4 linked regions of the Saccharomyces cerevisiae S288C genome follow. The main gene of each other region encodes a partner of the protein of the gene in region 3 in a complex. Each region holds a gene or a part of one and is shown on either strand. Other genes may lie near its edges. The genes, in order: MRPS17, RSM26, MRP17 and MRPS18.

The links.
Region 1: MRP17 (region 3) and MRPS17 share a complex: the UniProt entries of both Saccharomyces cerevisiae proteins name them as parts of the mitochondrial small ribosomal subunit.
Region 2: MRP17 (region 3) and RSM26 share a complex: the UniProt entries of both Saccharomyces cerevisiae proteins name them as parts of the mitochondrial small ribosomal subunit.
Region 4: MRP17 (region 3) and MRPS18 share a complex: the UniProt entries of both Saccharomyces cerevisiae proteins name them as parts of the mitochondrial small ribosomal subunit.

What each region holds. Positions count from the first base shown.
Region 1 is NC_001145.3:634,746-640,278, forward strand, and holds MRPS17 (mitochondrial 37S ribosomal protein uS17m MRPS17), read right to left. Parts: upstream 2,260-5,533; coding exon 1,546-2,259; downstream 1-1,545. Other genes in the region: YMR187C (uncharacterized protein), read right to left, coding at 1-1,239; GCV2 (glycine decarboxylase subunit P), read left to right, coding at 2,755-5,533. UniProt on the Saccharomyces cerevisiae protein: Component of the mitochondrial ribosome (mitoribosome), a dedicated translation machinery responsible for the synthesis of mitochondrial genome-encoded proteins, including at least some of the essential transmembrane subunits of the mitochondrial respiratory chain.
Region 2 is NC_001142.9:616,408-619,534, reverse strand, and holds RSM26 (mitochondrial 37S ribosomal protein mS42 RSM26), read right to left. Parts: upstream 1,302-3,127; coding exon 501-1,301; downstream 1-500. Other genes in the region: ESCRT-II subunit protein VPS25, read left to right, coding at 1-378; AIM25 (Aim25p), read left to right, coding at 2,201-3,127. UniProt on the Saccharomyces cerevisiae protein: Component of the mitochondrial ribosome (mitoribosome), a dedicated translation machinery responsible for the synthesis of mitochondrial genome-encoded proteins, including at least some of the essential transmembrane subunits of the mitochondrial respiratory chain.
Region 3 is NC_001143.9:436,597-439,192, reverse strand, and holds MRP17 (mitochondrial 37S ribosomal protein bS6m MRP17), read left to right. Parts: upstream 1-1,700; coding exon 1,701-2,096; downstream 2,097-2,596. Other genes in the region: MET14 (adenylyl-sulfate kinase), read left to right, coding at 1-416; ESCRT-III subunit protein DID4, read right to left, coding at 649-1,287, 1,356-1,415; AUR1 (inositol phosphorylceramide synthase), read right to left, coding at 2,408-2,596. UniProt on the Saccharomyces cerevisiae protein: Component of the mitochondrial ribosome (mitoribosome), a dedicated translation machinery responsible for the synthesis of mitochondrial genome-encoded proteins, including at least some of the essential transmembrane subunits of the mitochondrial respiratory chain.
Region 4 is NC_001146.8:56,323-59,308, reverse strand, and holds MRPS18 (mitochondrial 37S ribosomal protein uS11m MRPS18), read right to left. Parts: upstream 1,155-2,986; coding exon 501-1,154; downstream 1-500. Other genes in the region: BXI1 (Bxi1p), read left to right, coding at 1-411; serine/threonine/tyrosine protein kinase MCK1, read left to right, coding at 1,736-2,863. UniProt on the Saccharomyces cerevisiae protein: Component of the mitochondrial ribosome (mitoribosome), a dedicated translation machinery responsible for the synthesis of mitochondrial genome-encoded proteins, including at least some of the essential transmembrane subunits of the mitochondrial respiratory chain.

The sequences.
Region 1 (5,533 bases), on a different chromosome or scaffold from region 3:
TCTTTTGTAACTGGCATAGAGCTTCAGACTTGACCAGCCTATAGCAGCAGTACCACAACCTATAATATTGAAAATCATTCTAAATTCCGAAGGGGAGCAATTCGGCGTCCATTCAATTTTAAACTTTCTCTGTATCCATAGAAAAGCATTCAATAGAAGACCTCCTGTACATTTACCAACAAAGGGCCATAGTATCTTTTCTGCAAGAATAGCATACCAATTCCGCCTGATAAAAAATTCCTCAGCTGGAACGCTATTACTAGAGTTTTCAAAATTTCCGTGATACAAATACTTACCTCCTTTATTGATCAGCCTCCTGTAAATTAAGTCAACCAATCTTTTAAAGGTAAAATTATAGCAAAATGTAGCCAAGTTAGAATACAAAATTATTTTAGGTAAACCTATACCCTTGTAATATTTGTTTCCAGCAGTTTTTACAATACTGAGATACACCCACTTAAAGAGTATTGCATTAGCACTGACGTTAGAAATGTTGCTAAGATAATGTATGAACCCATATATTATGATCGAGGAGGTTAAAGGAATGCTTAATAAGCCACGTTCAGTTTGCGCATATACGTCCAATGCCTTTGTAGTGCTGATGTTTAACATATTTCGTAGAACATTCTCAGGGAAAAGGCAGCGTAGTTGCCATAATCCAATGTCAAAACTTGTCTTTTCAGGGTTTAAAAGAAATAAACTAGTTATCCCTAATGGTATCACGTATCGTGTAATTTTTTGCCACTGATAAAACAGGGATAGTACAGAAGACTGGATGGTTACTGTAGGTCTTTTTATGAAATTTGTTTTCTTGCATTGAGGACATTCGCCAAATTTCACTAACACATAAGGTGGATGATTATCCCGTTTGGTATAAAGAGACATTAGATTGAACACGTAGTCATTTTGAAACGGTACTGATTTTTGCCCCCAAATGGGACGAGTTTCCCATATTTCTGTAAGAGAGAAAGTCGTCATAAAATCATGGTGCCCATCAACGAGACATTTTAAACAGGTGATTATAGGTAAATCAGCATCCTTTGGTAGGTCCACTGTGTTCGGAAGAAAAAGTTCAACATGCATTTGATAGAGCCATCTTATATAGCAGCGTTTATGAATTTGTAAGTTGCAACCGCACGTGTGCTGTAGCCATGTAGAGTCATATGTGGATTCTTCCAAACATATCCAGCATATGCATCTTTTTTTTATGAGAGATAAAAAAAAATGAGGTGGGGTCATATAAAACTTGGACTATTTCCTTGGAATTTTCTTGTTTGTAAAATCAGAGCAGAGCTCTTTTATTTACTTTTGTTTTTGACGATGGGGACGAGCGATGTACTCACATCTTCGATATCACTTGCCTGAAAATATATAAATGCGTTAAACGATAGAAAATCAAAAACATCGTTCTTTTCACTAGAATATTTTAAAGTCAAAACATAACACTTTACTATTTACGTAACGAAGTCTTGTAGTTGTATATATTTACAGAGTGTAGTGCTTTAGTTGAGAAAATATGACACTCGGCTTTCCTCTTTCTTTTATTTACTGGCTTGGTTGTTGCATATCCATCATGACGTGCTTTCTTAACAAATTTTTTTTGATGTTTTTTTTCAAGGTCAAAGGATCCTCAACACCATGATCCTTCAAAAATTGATCACATTTTAGATCATTCGACAACAATTCGGATAATCGCGTTTGAATACGATCAATGAGACTTCTTTGTTTCTCCAAATTAACCTCCAATCCAGAGATGTCTAACTGTAAAAGTTGCCTCACTGTTTCTTGTGAAAAATCTTGAATGCCGTACCTTTGTTTAATCTCCAATAACTCTTTCGGCGTTGACCCGCTAGATAAAGCATCTTGGATGGTCCTAATATCACGTAAAAGGGTTGTTTTTTCATTTAGTTTATTCTCCCTCACTGATCTTTTATCCAAAAATTCTTTTGCCTTTTGGGCTTCTTCTTTTGCAACGCTTAACTGAGCTTCTGATTCGTATAATGCAAATTGTTGACCCTTGTTTCTAATAATTTCTGCAATGGCAAAAAACTTCCTCTTTGAAAGCGGCCTCGTCGCTTCTATCCTTACTAAATCACCCTCCCTTGATATTTCACCTTCATCATGCACTAAATAATCTCTTCTATGAAATAACTCCTTGTTGATTTTCTTATTAAAGACTTTTGTTTCTACACGTACTTTAACCGTCTTTTGCATCTTCCCTTGGGAGACGACCAAGCCTAAAAAATTTTGGCGAGCCATTACAGTTTAACTGATCTTGATTTGACTTTTGAAATCTCTAACCCGAATTCAACTCCCTGAGTTTACTTCTGTTTGGCCTTATTTGTGGATTTCCTCTAACAGTTTGATGCTCGCATTGGTTTGGCACAATCCCAAATTGCTTCAGAATTCTAATCTTATGAAATAACAATCATGTTACCCGGTTGAATCGTTACCCGACATCTCTGACTCTTCTTGAGGTATAGACTCCTCCTTTTCGGAGTCATGACTCTCAGAGGAGTCATCGAAGTCAGCATTGAGCTGTGAAGGACCTTGATAAGCTAGTCGAAAGATCTCCAACGAATATAAATGGATGTATATATAGCAGGCTCGAGTGGCACAATTTTCTTCTCTTCAAGTTCCAGTGAATTAGTCTTTCTCGTGTGTACCAATCTTACTGTATTGATTGCTGCGCGATCTAACCATCAACTAACCACAGTTTATTGGAAAAACGTTTCCTAATACCAGGAAGATAACATGCTTAGGACAAGAGTGACTGCTCTCCTTTGTAGGGCTACTGTCAGGTCAAGCACCAATTATGTTTCATTAGCGAGGACTAGATCATTCCATTCTCAATCTATTTTGCTCAAAACAGCCGCTACAGACATAACGTCTACACAGTACAGCAGGATTTTCAATCCTGACTTGAAAAACATTGATAGACCGCTAGATACTTTTGCTAGACGTCATTTAGGTCCTTCTCCTAGCGACGTTAAGAAAATGTTAAAAACAATGGGTTATAGCGATTTAAACGCATTTATAGAAGAGCTCGTTCCTCCCAATATTTTGAAGAGAAGACCCTTGAAACTAGAAGCTCCTAGTAAGGGATTCTGTGAACAAGAAATGCTTCAACATCTAGAAAAGATTGCCAATAAGAACCACTATAAAGTTAAAAATTTCATAGGTAAGGGTTACTACGGTACGATTTTACCACCGGTTATACAAAGAAACCTGCTAGAAAGTCCAGAATGGTATACTTCTTATACGCCCTATCAACCCGAAATTTCTCAAGGTAGGCTAGAAGCGCTATTAAACTTTCAAACGGTTGTTTCAGATTTGACTGGTTTGCCTGTGGCGAACGCCTCATTGTTGGATGAGGGTACAGCGGCTGGAGAAGCTATGCTCTTGTCATTCAATATTTCCAGAAAAAAGAAACTAAAATACGTAATAGATAAAAAATTACACCAGCAAACAAAGAGTGTCCTTCACACCAGAGCCAAGCCGTTCAATATTGAAATTATTGAAGTTGACTGTTCGGATATCAAGAAAGCTGTGGATGTTTTAAAGAACCCCGACGTATCTGGTTGTTTGGTTCAATATCCAGCGACAGATGGTTCAATCTTACCGCCTGACTCGATGAAACAGTTATCTGATGCGTTACACTCTCACAAGTCTTTGCTCTCTGTGGCCTCAGATTTAATGGCTTTGACACTTCTAAAACCACCTGCTCATTACGGTGCTGATATCGTCCTGGGTTCCTCTCAACGATTTGGTGTCCCAATGGGTTATGGTGGTCCTCATGCTGCTTTTTTCGCTGTTATTGATAAATTAAACAGAAAAATTCCAGGTAGAATTGTCGGTATCTCTAAAGACCGCTTAGGCAAGACGGCCTTGCGGTTGGCCCTCCAAACAAGAGAACAACATATCAAGCGTGATAAGGCAACTTCAAATATATGTACCGCTCAAGCTTTACTGGCTAATGTTGCTTCGAGCTACTGTGTTTATCACGGTCCTAAGGGCCTACAGAATATTTCCAGGAGGATATTTAGCTTAACATCAATATTGGCAAATGCCATCGAAAATGACAGTTGCCCTCACGAACTAATTAATAAAACATGGTTTGATACTTTGACTATAAAGTTAGGTAATGGCATATCCTCCGAGCAGTTATTGGACAAGGCCTTGAAAGAATTTAATATCAATTTGTTTGCCGTGGACACCACCACTATTTCCTTGGCTCTTGATGAAACAACTACAAAAGCTGATGTTGAAAATCTACTAAAAGTGTTTGACATTGAAAATTCTTCGCAGTTTCTTTCTGAGGACTATTCTAACAGTTTCCCAAGGGAATTTCAGCGTACTGATGAAATATTGAGGAACGAAGTCTTTCACATGCACCATAGCGAAACAGCAATGTTGAGATATTTACATAGGTTGCAATCTCGTGATTTATCTCTTGCTAATTCTATGATTCCTTTAGGTTCCTGTACTATGAAATTGAACAGTACTGTTGAAATGATGCCAATCACTTGGCCCCAATTTTCGAATATCCATCCGTTCCAGCCATCAAACCAAGTCCAAGGATACAAGGAACTAATTACTTCGTTGGAGAAAGATTTATGCAGCATTACAGGTTTCGATGGTATTTCTTTACAACCAAATTCAGGTGCTCAAGGTGAATATACTGGTCTGAGAGTAATCAGATCCTACCTGGAAAGCAAAGGTGAAAATCATCGTAACGTGTGTTTAATCCCTGTATCCGCTCATGGTACAAATCCGGCTTCTGCCGCTATGGCGGGTTTAAAAGTTGTTCCTGTCAACTGTTTGCAGGATGGCTCATTAGATCTGGTTGACTTAAAGAATAAGGCTGAACAACATTCTAAAGAACTAGCCGCCGTAATGATCACCTATCCTTCCACTTACGGTTTATTTGAACCAGGCATCCAACATGCTATTGATATCGTACATTCTTTTGGTGGACAAGTCTATTTGGATGGTGCTAATATGAATGCGCAGGTTGGGCTAACTTCACCCGGAGATCTTGGTGCAGATGTTTGCCACTTGAATTTACATAAGACATTTTCCATTCCTCATGGTGGTGGTGGTCCAGCTGGAGCTCCCATTTGCGTCAAATCTCATTTAATACCCCATTTACCTAAACATGACGTTGTTGATATGATCACTGGAATCGGCGGTAGCAAATCCATCGATTCGGTCTCCTCTGCTCCATATGGTAATGCTTTAGTGTTACCAATTTCTTATGCCTATATCAAAATGATGGGTAATGAGGGATTACCATTTTCTAGTGTGATAGCAATGCTAAATTCAAATTATATGATGACAAGATTAAAAGATCATTATAAAATTCTTTTCGTCAATGAAATGAGCACACTAAAACACTGCGCTCATGAATTTATAGTTGATCTAAGAGAATACAAAGCTAAAGGTGTTGAAGCTATCGATGTTGCCAAGAGATTGCAAGACTACGGATTCCATGCCCCAACGTTGGCCTTCCCTGTTCCCGGAACTTTGATGA
Region 2 (3,127 bases), on a different chromosome or scaffold from region 3:
AATGAGGACATCCAAAGATCTGTATCACAGGTATTTATTGATGAAATTTGGTCGCAAATGACCAAAGAAGGCAAATGCTTACCGATTGACCAAAGTGGTAGGAGAAGCAGCAATACCACCACTACGAGATATTTTATATTATGGAAGAGCTTAGACAGTTGGGCTTCTTTGATACTACAGTGGTTCGAAGACTCTGGAAAACTGAATCAAGTCATTACGTTATACGAATTGAGTGAAGGTGATGAAACAGTCAATTGGGAGTTCCATAGAATGCCCGAAAGCTTGCTCTATTATTGTTTGAAGCCCCTATGCGATAGAAATAGGGCCACAATGCTGAAAGATGAAAATGATAAAGTAATTGCCATTAAGGTTGTTTAAAACACGAGCGAGAGGATAAAATAAAACTATTTACAGTATATAAGATTTTGGTAGATCCCCTTCTACCCGATACCTTTATAATTACATATGAGGGTAAGAGGCTATCGCTTCCTTTCTTTTCATTACTTCGATATACCAGAGAATATCCTATTATTTACCACTGACCAATTCAAGTTATCTAGAACATTCTTCACGTATTTGGACCGGTTACCAACGCCATAATCATGTAAATAAGCATGATCCCACAGATTGACACAGATTATAGGCATGGTCCAGTCTTGAACCTTACCATTCAACTTAGTAGACTTTCCTATCAGTTCTTTCATTTGTTTCAAGGTAGCAAATTCATCGATGGATATCGCACTGTTTAAATCAAATGACTGGTTCCTGGGAAAATAATACGGCGTACCATTATTATTGCTCGTTAATATGAAGAGTTTTTTCTCATTGTTTTCAACTAGAAATAACCAGCCTTGTCCCAAGACTTCATTCTCAGCACGGTAAATCATTTCCTCCTTCACTACTTCCCAATCGCTGCCGTTGAATGAATCTTTGATTTTGGATAAAAAAAGCCTAGAAGGCTCTGTCTTCACAACGGCGTTCGAGTTAGTGCCATGTTCAACAGCAGAAGGTAGAATGTTCTCCACGAATAAATGGTTATTATGGATAGAGGACGCCAAATTGAAGATGTTTGACTGTAATGGATTTCCTGCAGTTTTCAGCAATATGTGAAATGGATAATATGATTCCAAAGACTGTCCCGCTGTCGCCAGCGTTAGCTTATCACATAGATATCGCTGGTAGTCGAACCACACCGTCTTGAATCCCGAAGAACTGAGTATATTAGGCACTCCATTTTGCAGTAGGGCCTTAGAATTTGGTAGTTTAGGTACTACGTGAATACCCCTTTTGAAAACAAGCATTTCTCTGCGTCTTAGTTGCGCCAAGAAGACGATATTATGTGGTCTTCAGAAATTTGCCTGCAAAATATCCTCTTATTGTGAAAAGACTTTTGCTATACCCTTCTTACTTTTCCATGCTTTGCGATACTTCTTGCTCAGTCCAAAAAAGTACTGCGGCACCTCTCCTAAGATTCTTGGAAAGATGGGAAGTGAAAAAAAAAAATACAAAAAATAATGAGAGCTAAGGGATTCGAACCCTTGCATCCGAAGATATCAGAGATTTTAGAGGTTAAATCCACCTAAATCTGACGCCTTAAACCACTCGGCCAAACTCCCATTGTTTGTTGAATGGACTTCATAAACAATCGCATATCATTGATTGGTTACTTTTTAAGAAGGGATTGATGCCAAAGTCAGATGGTAACCATTGGATCAAGTGATAACACGTTTAAATGAAACAGTACCCATTTCTATAGACCAGATACCACGGAAGGATTACTGTAGAGGTGAGATATGAGATAGAGGGAATTGCCATTCGGTTAATAGCATATATAGGTTTTTATATGGAAGATTTGTGGGGCAATTGATTACCTTGTCAAAAATATATATAATATCTTGGAGCTGTAAAGGAAAGGCAATGTACAAAATCGACCAAGAGCTTTACTAAGTCTGGACAGTCGTTTGTCTGCCGATGTGGAAAAATAGCTTTCAATATAGTTATAGGAAGAATTTTCATAACAAGTGCGCGGTCTTGTTCCCCTTAACAGGTTCCGAACCTAGTATGGGAGAGGTTTCATTGACTTCGTTATATACTTCATTCAAGTTTGTAAGCCTACCGGCAATAAGGATTTGAAAAGTACGAAATGAAAAAAGACAAAACAAAAGAAGATTAAAGGTCAAACATAAAGGATAACACCGACATGCATAGAACGGCAATATTTCTAACTTACCGATCATGTATGAGAAATTTCAGTACACTGAGTAAAACATTAACGGTTTCTTCTGGTAAAGTAATCAGAAACGGTCCATTTAGGAGAGTAATTCGTGAAAAGAACCAAATAACGAAGGCGCCATCAGTAAAAGCATTTAAAGAAAATAGCAATAGCGGGATAATAAAAGTACATGATCCTATAGCTACTACGATACTTAATGAACCGACAGTTATTATCGAAAGGCAAATAGAATTTATGAACGTTTTTCTAGGTTTCGAGCAGGCTAATAGGTATGCCATAATGGATGTGAACGGAAACAAAATAGCATCAATGATGGAAAGAGATTTTTCTATAACAAAGGCCATAATGCGGCAGTTTTATCGTCTACATCGTCCTTTTTTGGTAGATGTCTTTGATAATTGGGGAAATGTAATAATGACGATTAAAAGGCCCTTTTCGTTCATCAATTCTCATATAAAGACTATCATACCTCCTTCCGCGTATGTTGATAATGGCAGTGACTCCACTCACTATCACGACGGTAAAGAAGGAACGACAGTAGGAGAGACCATTCAGAACTGGCATCTCTGGAGGCGTCGTTACGAATTATTCCAGAAAGATGGAGTAGAAGGATCCACTTTTGACCAATTTGGTAAGATAGATGCACCTTTCTTATCATTTGATTTTCCTGTAACAGATGCTGATGGTAAGATAATGGCGAGTGTAGACAGAAATTGGGTTGGTTTAGGAAGAGAAATGTTTACCGATACTGGTGTTTATGTTGTTAGATTTGATTCGCAGAGATGCTTTGATAATATTTATCCTACTGAGATGCTAAGTTCTCAAGTACTAACTTTGGATCAAAGGGCCGTGTTATTAGCAAACGCTGTGTCCATCGATTTCGATTATTTTTCG
Region 3 (2,596 bases):
TTGGATTGAACAAGGATTTGGGTTTCTCAGAAAAGGACAGAAATGAAAACATTCGTAGAATTAGCGAAGTTTCTAAGCTATTTGCTGATTCATGTGCTATTTCAATCACCTCATTTATCTCTCCATACAGAGTTGACAGAGATAGAGCTCGTGAACTACATAAGGAGGCTGGTTTGAAGTTCATTGAAATATTTGTTGATGTTCCATTAGAAGTCGCTGAGCAAAGGGACCCTAAGGGTTTATACAAGAAAGCTAGGGAGGGTGTAATCAAGGAGTTTACAGGTATTTCTGCCCCATATGAAGCGCCAAAAGCTCCAGAGCTACATTTGAGAACCGACCAGAAGACGGTTGAAGAATGTGCTACCATTATTTATGAGTACTTAATCAGTGAAAAAATCATCCGTAAGCATTTGTAATTTGACCGATTACTGTACATTTAATGATATATAAAAGATGTATATATATAATATAGAACATATTTATTCGAGGATTCATTCGAAAAAAAAAGAAAACTTTAGTGACGAGATTGAGTAAAGTGAAAAACTGAACAAATTTTCGGAAGCCTTTTGATTCTAAGTGCCTACTTTGATATCAGTAGTTGATGTATTATAGTATAGACCTATTATTCATTAAATATACTCAGAGCGCTCAAGTCTGCTTCTTCAAAGTGTTCAACCGAGCTTGCAAGTCATCGTCAGGATTACCGTGAAATTCTGATCCGGCGCCAATAGGTTCAGGAATCCCCATCGCTGTTTCTGCGATCGGCGCATTAGAAACCAGATTTTGAGGCGTGCTTTGCAACTGTGAATTCAAATCCACTCCAATCTCATCAAGAACTTTATTTACAATTTCGTCAGCTTCTTCGTCTTCATCCACCTCATCACCCATGACGTTATCAATAGCTTCGTCCATGAATTCCTGTCGTTGACCCATCAAATCACTCTGCTTTTCAAACTCCATCGATATCCTTTGCAACTGAGGTAGATTCATTGTTCTGTTCATTCCAGCCAAAAGACCAGTGGCCTCGCTCATAGAACGTGTCATTTGGTCACTACTTCGAACGGCCTGTATTCTCAATGATATCGCCTGAAGTTGAGCTTTCATGTTGTCAAATTTTTGGATGTAATTCCGGGTTCTTACTAAATCTTTTGCTTGAACTTTCGCAGCTGCAACTTGCCCATTCTTTGCCGATTTTTTAATTTCTGATACAAGTTTTTTATCTTGTAGTTCCAATTTTCTCTTTTCTCTTTCAAGCTCCCTCTGAGTCCTTTCTAAAGCCCTTTGATTCTAAAAACTCAAATAATTAACGTTAGTATGTTCACTAAAATAACTGATCCAAATACAGAACAACATACTTTTTTTAACCTCTCTTGCGGAGTGACATTCTTTCCAAATACCCACTCAAACAAACTCATTGTTTAACGTTCTGTGTCCAAGGGTGAAACAATCAGCCTTGAAGTACACTGGTCACAAATACGCTTCAACTGAATACGCATAATTCGAAAGGATGATTTCTGATTAGGAGGAGACGAAGTCCCTTTAATGCTGATTTTATCTATCTTTTCGCAGTTATCATCTAACCCGGAAAAGTTTCAACAAGACTTTAGCCTTTTAATGGAAACTCCCACTAGTTCAGCTTAAACAAAATAGAAAAGCTTCAACAGAGGAAAGAATAACGCAAAACCACCCTTTTCACTAAGATGCTTTATGAGCTGATCGGACTTGTTCGCATAACCAACTCCAATGCGCCAAAGTTGGAAGCAAAAGAATTGTCTTCCACAATCGGGAAACTGATTATTCAAAACAGAGGTGTGGTGAGGGACATTGTACCCATGGGCATAAGGTATCTTCCTAAAATAATGAAGAAAGACCAGGAAAAACATTTTCGAGCATATCACTTTTTAATGCTGTTTGATTCATCAGCTGCGGTACAGTCTGAAATTCTAAGAACTTTAAAGAAAGATCCCCGTGTCATAAGATCATCCATCGTTAAAGTTGATTTAGATAAGCAGCTGGATAGAGCCTCATCGTTACACCGTTCTTTGGGGAAGAAGTCTATTTTAGAATTAGTGAATGAAGATTATCAATCCATTTAGGTATAGCGCACAGGTTTTGACTGGGGACGCTACAAACACATGTAAATACATACATATCTTTCATACACATATAATAAACAAAGCAGGAAGAGCATTCTAAAAGCCTCACTTAACATAGACACCATTAAAAGCCACCCATTTATTTCAAAAATTTATAAAATTCTAAAGATAATCAGTGGTATGTGATTAAATAAACTACATGTATATTATGCTAAACGACAATCCTGACTAAGAAAAAGAAAGAAAAAGATATATATTTATATGTATCTACATAAGACCAACCGTATCCGTAATTGCAGATAAAATACTCATTAAGCCCTCTTTACACCTAGTGACGTTATAGACGTGGCGGACGAACGAGAAACAGAAGTAGATCCATCAAATAACGAAGGGCTTACACTGGGTTCATCAGTCATATTAAGATCAAAGTCAAGTTCCAAGTTGGACAAAGGGACACTTTCGATATCGTTTGAATCTGCAGCCAATGGATCACTCTTTGA
Region 4 (2,986 bases), on a different chromosome or scaffold from region 3:
TCGCTGGTAACCTTAGCGTACGATAAGGATACAGTACTTTCGGCTCTGCTGATCACCACCATCGTCGTAGTCGGCGTTTCCTTGACCGCACTATCAGAGAGATTCGAGAACGTGCTGAATTCCGCAACGTCAATATACTATTGGTTAAACTGGGGTCTATGGATTATGATCGGAATGGGTCTCACGGCCTTGCTTTTCGGCTGGAATACCCACTCTTCCAAGTTTAATCTGCTTTACGGCTGGCTTGGTGCCATTTTATTTACCGCGTATCTTTTCATCGATACGCAACTGATTTTTAGGAAAGTGTATCCTGATGAAGAAGTTAGATGCGCCATGATGCTTTACCTGGACATCGTCAATTTGTTTTTGTCTATTTTAAGGATTTTGGCCAACTCTAACGACGACAATTAAAAAAAGGGAAAAATCGAATTATTTACACGAATATATATATATTTCTTCTTCTTTTACATAGTTTATAATTCATACATAGTGGGAGCTGATCATAGTCTTCTCATCTTTGGTGATCTTACACCACCAAACTTCAATTTGGTGGCATCGCTGATCTTCACAACCTTTTTCACCACACTGGCCCCTTCCTTACCAACAAGAGCGGAAATAAAAGCAGCTCTGCCCTTCCCAAAGTCGTCCATCACCACTTCGATATCTTTGTTCAGCATGTTCTTTTCCTTAATCAATTCAAACATTCTACCACTGGTTTGAAATGCAGCTTCATACTCCCCTCTTGCTGCCTTCCTAAACCCTAAACAACCTGTAGATAGCGAAATCTTCACTTTCTGGGGTAAGTTCAAATAGTACAGCATTGTATCATTATACGTAAGTCCCTTATTCTTATGAAAGTTCTTGTCCTCCACAACGCTTGAAAATGTCAAATGCGTGTTATTTTTAGTAAACTTGCCATGTAGAATGTACTTAACTACTTCCTCTTTGGGCTTGTAAACCTCACTACTACCATTTGACTTTGTCAAAACTGAGTCAGAGGACGAAGGATACGAGATATTCGTGATATCCTCCTGATTTGAAATATCCTTAAATGAAAAAGGAACTCCTCTATTCGTGCCGGTAGAATTCCATCTTCTGATAGGCCTGACAAACTGCGTCCATCGGCAGCCTTTCCAAACAGGTTGTAACAGCATCACACGTAACTATAACAGTTCACACTGTCACTTTTTCTTTTCAGAAGAACCACTGCTTTCCACCTGATTTACTCTCATTTTGTCTTCCCTCTTTCCCAATTCATCGTTATTATGCCAAACAGTCACGAAGTACGAAACAAACACTCTCCGCTGCTATAGAAAGTTCCAATCTTAGGCTGAATAATGGAATACTAGTAGCTCAGTGATTATCATCATAATTGAAGCTATCATTAAAAAGCATGCAGCCATATTATGCAGGAATTATATGATCACACGTAGCTGTAGTGGCTTTCGAAAGCAGCATTCTTGCTTCCACTCAGTTCGTATGTAATGACAGTTCAGTGACCCACAAACAACACTGAAAAAAGCGACCTTCATATGCGGAAGAGGGCAGGCGTAACCTCCAAGGGAAAACGACATAGATTTCGCAAGTGAGTGCCATTGTGTCGTGTTAGTAGTGTGGGCAGGCCCGTAACGTGTTTATTGATAGGAGTTAAGCCCAAGACTACAGAGTTCTTTGCTTCATCTTTCAATTTTCTTTTTATTTTCCGAAACCCCCACTCCATCACATTCTAGTACATATGTCTACGGAAGAGCAGAATGGTGTTCCTCTGCAAAGGGGATCTGAATTCATTGCAGACGATGTAACCTCGAATAAATCGAACAACACGAGGCGGATGCTGGTGAAAGAGTACAGGAAAATCGGTAGAGGTGCCTTTGGGACTGTTGTACAAGCATATTTAACCCAGGATAAGAAAAACTGGTTGGGCCCCTTTGCAATTAAAAAAGTCCCTGCTCATACCGAGTACAAGTCCAGGGAATTACAGATTCTGAGGATTGCCGACCATCCAAATATCGTTAAATTGCAGTATTTCTTTACTCATTTGTCCCCGCAAGATAATAAAGTTTATCAACACCTTGCCATGGAATGCTTACCAGAAACTCTACAAATCGAGATTAATCGTTATGTGACAAACAAGCTAGAAATGCCATTAAAACATATCAGGCTATACACTTATCAGATTGCCCGCGGGATGCTTTATTTACACGGTCTTGGCGTTTGTCATCGTGATATCAAACCATCCAATGTTCTTGTAGACCCGGAAACCGGTGTCTTGAAAATCTGCGATTTTGGGTCTGCCAAAAAATTGGAACATAACCAGCCTTCAATTAGTTACATCTGTTCAAGATTTTATAGAGCGCCTGAATTGATCATTGGTTGTACCCAATATACCACCCAGATCGATATATGGGGGCTTGGTTGTGTCATGGGCGAGATGCTTATCGGCAAAGCCATATTTCAAGGTCAAGAACCCCTTCTACAGCTAAGGGAAATTGCTAAATTGTTAGGTCCTCCCGATAAAAGATTCATTTTCTTTTCGAATCCGGCCTACGATGGCCCTCTATTTTCCAAACCACTGTTCTCGGGCTCTTCGCAACAGAGGTTTGAGAAGTATTTTGGCCATTCCGGTCCAGATGGTATCGATCTTTTGATGAAAATATTGGTCTACGAACCACAACAAAGACTGTCTCCAAGAAGAATCCTTGCCCATCAGTTCTTTAATGAATTAAGGAATGATGACACTTTCTTACCAAGAGGTTTCACTGAACCAATCAAGCTACCAAATTTGTTTGATTTTAATGATTTTGAGTTACAAATTCTGGGTGAATTTGCTGATAAAATTAAACCTACGAAAGTTGCTGAATAATAATTTTCTATTAATTTGTTCTCTTTCCCCTCGGAAAATTTAATGAACAAAATACTATGATTTTTTTCACCTTTGATCCGCTGTTTATATTTCACTTGGAAAAGAAAAAAAATTTTTTGGAAT